2 linked regions of the Danio rerio genome follow. The protein of the gene in region 1 interacts with the protein of each later gene in a biochemical or structural test. Links are inferred from orthologs where the notes say so. Each region holds a gene or a part of one and is shown on either strand. Other genes may lie near its edges.

Region 1 (3,600 bases):
AATAACCTACAGTTTTCAAAAATATTAAAATAGAAAAATACAAAACTATTAAAAGAATACAGCTGTTCTGTGTCAGTTAAATCAGTTGACTGTTGAAATTAAAAATTTTAACCCAACTGGTTGAGTTATTAATGTAGATAACCAAATAAAAATATATATCCAAATAAAATAAATAACCAAATAAAGGTTAAACATGACCAAACAAAGGACCAAATATTTAACACAACTGGTTAAGTTATTATATATATATATATATATATATATATATATATATATATATATATATATATATATATATATATATATATATATATATACGTGTGTGTGTGTGTGTAATATCTACATTTACATAAATATTTACAGTTGAAGTCAGAATTATTAGCCCCCCTTTGAATTTTTCTTTTTTTTTTGTTGTCTTTTTAAAATATTTCCCAAATGATGTTTAAGAGAGCGAGGAAATTTTCACAGTATGTCAGATAATATTTTTTCTTCTGGAGAAAGTCTTGTTTGTTTTATGTCGGCCAGAATAAAAGCAGTTTTTAATTTTTTTAAAACCATTTGAAGGTCAAAATTATTAGCCCCTTTAAGCTATATTTTTTCTCGATAGTCTACAGAACAAACCACTGTTATACAATGACTTGCCTAATTACCCCAACTTAATTAGTTAAGCCTTTAAATGTCACTAAGCTGTATAGAAGTGTCTTGAAAAATATCCAGTCAAATATTTTTTACTGTCATCATGGCAAAGATTGGGGGATAGGGCTAATAATTCTGTTTATATGCATGGGTACTGCATGTATGTGCATATATATTTTTTCCCATTTAGTTTTTACCAGTTGTTCATAAAAATTATGTAAAAAAATAAACATACATGATTCCTTAATCAATAACTGCTATTTGACATTGTTTACATACATTAATGAGGGTCAAATAAGCCTCTTTCTCTGCTCATCTGTATTGTCGCTTATTTATGGGCGGTCTTTTTTCACGCCACGCAGTTTCTCAGTGGACAGCATTTCTCTCTCTCTCTCTCTCTCTCTCTCTCTCTCTCTCTCTCTGTGGGCAGAATGTCTCATGGAGGAGTTTTGGATGCGTCTGTGAACATCCACAGGTAGTTGCACAGTCTGCTTTTAGCGCTATCACTTTTGCATGTAATTCCTCGCGAGCGCTTTTGGACACGAGAGTCTTCTGCCTTCATATCTGTTTTAATTGTTGCATGCGCGTTATTGTAAACACATCGGCATACGGCAGCGATGCGCGTTTATAAACCTTTGCGAATGCATTTTACGTAAGTTTCCGCTTTATTTATTTATTTTTCTTTGCTTGGGAAATCGCGCATGGATTGTGTTGCAAGTTTGTGAATGTGAAGGCAACGGCGGAATACAATGGCAAGCGATTTGAAGCCTCGCTTGTGCGTAATGAAGAAAGGAGAGAACGGCTATGGGTTTCATCTGCACGGAGAGAAAGGAAAAACCGGACAGTACATACGGAAAGTGGAACGCGCGTCCCCGGCGGAGGCGTCGGGACTGCGCGCGGGTGACCGTGTGGTGGAGGTGAACGGCGAGAACGTGGAGAGAGAGACACACCATCAGGTACATCAACACACACACACACACACACACCTGAGCTGCTGGTCTCAAATATTCAGCACACATTATACTGGATCCTAATGCAGGATCGTATTATTATGCATTTTATTGCTTATAACAACAACATGTGTGTTAAAACAAGTGCTTGAAGATAATTAGATTAGGATGTATCTCCATATGGAAGCAGAAAGAGCTTTATTGCCACTGCCAGGTAAGATTTTACATACAAGGAGTTTGCTTTTGTGACAGAAGAGTGTATCAAAATGGCAGTGACAGGACAAAAACACTGATAATAAAGGAATTAAATAAGTAAATAGAGAAAACAAATGCATATTACATTAGGCAATAATGTGTGTAAAGCTATATTATGTGCAAATTGACATGTAAACTGAGTATGTTGTTAAATAAATGTGTACATATGTCGGTAAATAGTTTTGTTCCATTCTACAGGGTGTCCGTGGGGGTCTTAAAATGTCTCAAAATCCAAACTTTTAGGCCCTAAATTCACTGAAACATTGTATTGTAAGTCCTAAATCATGTTAAACAGGTCTTAATTTTCCTGTATTCATGTAAACCTGCCCAATCAGACCAACATCCTTCAATCCTTCCATCTCAATAAAAGTTTTAACAAAAGTTTATTTAAAAGGCACCTATTTTACCCCTTTTTCAAGATTTAAGAGAAGTCTTTTGTGTCTCCAGAGTCTGTCTGTAACGTTTCAGCTCAAAACACTTCTGATTATTTATGAGACCTTTCAGACTATTGGGACTGTCCGCTCTGAACACTATGTAGTAGGGTTGGGCCGATAGATGATGCCGTTGTCCATCGCTGATGGCCAATAGACAACACGATTGCCCTCGTCGCAAATCCGCTCGCGATAAACACACACTTAGGCCCTGTTTACATTAATACGTCTTAGTGTTAAAATGGCATTTTAGAACGAAAATGATCCACATCCACACCGTGTTTTACCCAGCATTTCTGAACAGCCCTCCGTCCGCTGAAAACACACACAGACAGCCACACACACACACACACTATCATGCGCTCGTTTGAGCTTCAGTGAGCAGAGCATGTCAGACAGTTTATGAAGGATGTACCGCTGGATTGCGTCTCACTGTAGTTGTTAAACGTGATATTTAGACATCCCAAGTCTCCCGGAAGTTCCGGGAGTCTCCCACAACTGCTTTGAGACTCTCGGATCCCTCCTCGCTCTTCACACACATCGCGCACACTCTGTCAAACTCCGTCTCTGTCCCCAAACCCCAACCCCCCGCTTTTCACAAACATATATAACCGGACAACCCTACCCCCCCGATGATGCCATTACGATGGCAAATTGTCAGTGTCCTCATCTCTGGCTTTGTCAGATAAACAGCACAGTTACAGATATGAAGGAAGCAGACCTCACGTAAGGTTTGTGAGAAACACTACAGTAAGAACTTTCCCAATGATTATTGGATGTATTTGTTGTGGAGTTAATTCAAGCCTTTCTGCAACAACGAGTCACACACAGTGTCCTTACAAAGTTCACACACAGACACACACACACACAGCTCACGCGTTTAACTTTGCTCTGTTTTTGCACGCAAATGTGACAGGGTACATGCTAATATCCACTGCTGTATAGCTGATATCCGTTATGTTAATGTACAAAATAAAGCTTATTTAACGTCCACAAACCGGGATTGAAGCGCCTTCTTTTACAATTGTACTGATATGCGGCTGCGGTGATGAATTAATGCGATTTTACCATCTTTAACCTACTTTATTACAAACATGCACTGTTTTAAAAACGTTTTAAACTTGTAAAACTTATTCTTTATCATATTTGATGATGACTGATGATCACAGAGAGCTGAACAGATCTTTTAATCCCAGTTGCTTTGCGCACGTCCTGTCTTGTTGATATGATTAAACGCATTACTATGGATGTTAATTCACGGCTGTCAGTCAATTCTGTGGACGGGGAAACCTCACTCCTATGTCACGTTGTGGTCGGCCTCAAAATGG
Region 2 (3,846 bases), on another chromosome or scaffold:
TGAAATCATATGTCGGCCACAAGTGGCTTGAAATAAGATGGCCTCCTAGTCTTTAAAAATCAGTGTGGACAAAAATCACGCAGCCAGTTTAAGAAGTAAACAGCCCTTCCTAACTAGAGGTTAAGTATAAGTCTGATTTAAAAAAAGAATCTCTCAATCTCTTTTCAACCACTAAGGTAAACTCTTCGACTGGCCTACACTGAAATGACGTGAAAAATGGGACAAAAAATGATTTTAACCAAAAATAAAACATAGTTTGAGATAATTGTGGTTTTGGTTTAAAGTTTTTGACACAAAAGGGTAAAGGTATGGGTAGAGTTTTGGGGTAGTAGGTAGATTCACATTCATTCGCTGTTTCTTTCCCCTTTTTTATTCAGTGTTGACAAGGGAGGGATGGACAAATTGAGGATTGACGAAGGTAAATCCATCGAAATCAGCCTGGTCGATGTTGGCAATAACCAGCTCGTCAGGAGGGGTCAGTTGTGGCTGTGTGCGAGTGAAGAACTTGTCAAAGTTTTCTGCCCCCTTTCCACACTATAAAACAAAAAAGAAAATGAAATAATATTGTTTGACAAATCTGTAACATACAATAGGATTACACACAGAAAATATAATTTTTTTAAGCACAGATCACATAGATAAAAGCTGGCAATTTAGATATTGCACAATAGACCCTTTTCACATTTTCAGATTTCTCAGTAGCAGAAGGGAAAACTTAGAGCCCAGTGAATGGGAGGGCACAACAAATAATCTTTTTCTTATTTGCTCAAATAATAAAAGAAAAAAAAACCCCTCAATTATTTTGTATAGATGCTTAGAAAAAGGACTGATGACCGAAGCCAAAGGAGAGAACAACATCAAATTTATTTTCCTGCACCATAGATGCTGCATTAGAAACAACTCGCACAAGCGGTAATTTGTTTTTTGTAATGTGAAGCAAAGATAATATAATGCACACATAAATACATATAAATGTTCATACCTTAAAAAAAAAATCTAAATATTAAAAAGCCTCTATTATGGGTTTTTGAAAATGATCTTCAATGCAGTATGTAACAGAGCTCTAAGTGAAGTGAAATAACCAGCTAAGGCTTAAATTTTAAAGTGCACAGTGTTCAAAACTATTGATTCATCTATAAAAGAGTAGACTCGTAGTAGTTTGAATGAATCGATCCGGTAATGAGTCTTTAGCCATGTTGACGTGACGTCGATACCGAACTCAAGCCCCGCCCATGCAGACCCAGGAAAATTTAAACACCCGGCCCCACCCACAAACACTATAGCAGATCCCGAATGAATCATGTCTCGAAGATGCTGTGCTCTGAAGTGTGAGGGTTAGCGTTATTTTCTCTACCCAAACATGTGAAGAGGCTTTGAAGAGTCAGTAGTTGAAGTTGATTTTTGTAAAAATACCTCAGCATTGTAGCCCCAGCTTTGTGCTGTGTTCTCGTCATTTTTCTGACAAGTGCTTTAGCAATCTACACTCTTACAACGGGGGATTCCTAGGCCGTTTGTTAAAGGAAGGACTAGAAAAGACTACTGATGTATGGGACTTTGTCAGAGCTTGATATGAACTTTACAGTACACAGTTCATGGACCAGTTTCTTTTTCCATTTCACAAGTGTAAGTAAGTGTGATTAAAATGGTTGCCCCCTTGTTTTCTCTAGCTAGCAAATTATGTATTTAATTGTGTTTTGTTACTTGTAACCACTTGTAGTGTATCTGGTTAACTCTTTATAATCTTATATCATGTCTAAACCACATTTAAAACGTGATTCGTGCCGCTTTGTTGACAGATTTAAACTAGTTTGTGAGCTCGCAATCTACTGCCGTTTGTCGTTGCCACCGTCAGCGGTTCTTACATACATGTGGCGGTCAAGTTTCAAAATAGTTCAGCTTTTGCCACTGTGTGGATTAATATTGAATGTGTGTCACTGTTTTTATTTATGGTTATGAATAGAGCAATATGCTGGTGTTAAACTGCATTGCTTTAATGCACTCCAGAACTGGGTTCATACATTCTATCTGCACTCTACGTTACCTCAAAATTGTTAATAACTGTGGTGGGTGTTTCTCTCTGTTTCGCTCTGAACGCAGTTGACCAATCACAACAGACTGGTCATCGGACCAATCAGCGCAGATTAGCTTTGCGCTAAAGAGGGGTTTGGGAACAAATGAATCGCTGAACGAATGGGATTATTAGGTCAAAATAAATGCATATTATAAGACAATGGAAGTGCTGTTTGACCTTGCATGCATATCAGCCTGTTGTTGGAGACCCCCCAAAACTAACAATACCCTATTTAATGCATAATAGGGGCTCTTTAAAAACTTTCAAGGATTTAGATGCTGATGACTGCTAAACACATCATAACAGGCTTGTAAAAAGGGTCCATATACTTACTGATTTGTCTGTGGTTGGAAAAAAGATACTTTTAAGTGTTTAGTATGTAGGAAATATGCAATGTTATATTTATTCTTCTGTTCCCAATTGCTTCATGTCCAATGCACAGATTAACACTCCTCAGATTTCAGATTATATGCCCTACTTCCTCTTCATCTGGATGATGCATTGCTCAACTGGTTTGGAGGACACAGCTGTGGAAGCCAAACATGACAGTACCTTTGCCCATGATTAGTTAAACTAAGTGTGAATGTAATATGAAATAGTATTTATTTGTTAGATTCTTTAGAATCAATGGGGAGCTTTCATTCCTTCTGTTTTCTATGATAATATCGCAAATTTGACTCTCTAAATACCTGACACATAACCTAGTTAGTTAGTCATTACATTAATACCTGACACTTAATTGCTATTTAGTTCATTCCCTTATACAATGTACAGCGGGGAAAATAAGTACTGAACAAGTAATATTTCTAAAGTAGCTGATGACATGGAATTCAACCTAATTTTGGTAAAAAACCAAACAATACAAACATACCTGTAAAAAAAAAAATCTGAAAAACGAGTTGTGTTATAACAATGAAATGACACAATAAAAGAAATGTATTCAAATGTATTTACTACTTTATATAAAAGTTTTTTTTTAAGATTAAAGATGCCTCTCATATGGAGAATGAAGTCACATGAATAGTTCAGGTGTGAGTTTTCAACAAAGTGTAAAAATCCTGATGGTTCTGTGGGTCTCGTCTTCCAAATCTGATCTTTAATTTGTATTTTATATTAGATTTAAGTCAGGTGATTGGCTGGGGCCTTCTAGAGCTTGATTTTCTTTCTCTGAAACCATTTGAGAGTTTCCTTGGCTGTGTTTGGGATCAATGTCGTGACGGAATGTCCACCCTGGTTTCATCTTCATCATCCGGGTAATGTAGATGATGGACTGAATCAACTAATAATAATATACAGTGATGAAGGGCAGTATACTATTATATTTCATTTTATTATGCAAAACTTAATATATGGATTTCTTTGGATGGTACCAACATCTGAGAAAAAATCTAAATCAACAGCACGTTTAGCAATATGTATTTTGAAAAAAAAAATGACGATGTGTTCAATACTTATTTTCCCAGCTCTATGTATTCAGTGCTACTTAATGGGTTAGTTCACCAAAAAAATTAAATAGTCAATAATTATTATTTTCTCATGTCGTTCCAACCGCCTGAGACCTTCATTCATCCTTGGAAAACAAACTACGCTTTTTTAGAGGATATCTGAGAACTCCCTGATCCCCCATAATGTTGATAGCAACAGTTCAACATCCAGAAAAATACCCAAAACAATCCATGTACTGTATTTTTTGTAGTTCAATACAACTATTATCAATCTATTAAGATAATATTATCATATTATCAATGAGAATGCTTTATGAGCGCATATAAGAA

The links.
Region 2: the proteins of Na(+)/H(+) exchange regulatory cofactor NHE-RF2 (region 1) and prkcaa form a complex in vitro, tested with the Homo sapiens proteins (2 studies listed by BioGRID and IntAct, with this or other methods). The link is inferred for Danio rerio from reciprocal best matches to the Homo sapiens genes NHERF2 and PRKCA.

The regions. Positions count from the first base shown.
Region 1 is NC_133178.1:11,799,352-11,802,951, forward strand, and holds the start of Na(+)/H(+) exchange regulatory cofactor NHE-RF2, read left to right. Parts: upstream 1-1,064; 5' UTR 1,065-1,385; coding exon 1,386-1,592; intron 1,593-3,600.
Region 2 is NC_133181.1:19,846,782-19,850,627, reverse strand, and holds the end of prkcaa (protein kinase C, alpha, a), read right to left. Parts: intron 535-3,846; coding exon 370-534; downstream 1-369. UniProt on the Homo sapiens protein: Calcium-activated, phospholipid- and diacylglycerol (DAG)-dependent serine/threonine-protein kinase that is involved in positive and negative regulation of cell proliferation, apoptosis, differentiation, migration and adhesion, tumorigenesis, cardiac hypertrophy, angiogenesis, platelet function and inflammation, by directly phosphorylating targets such as RAF1, BCL2, CSPG4, TNNT2/CTNT, or activating signaling cascade involving MAPK1/3 (ERK1/2) and RAP1GAP.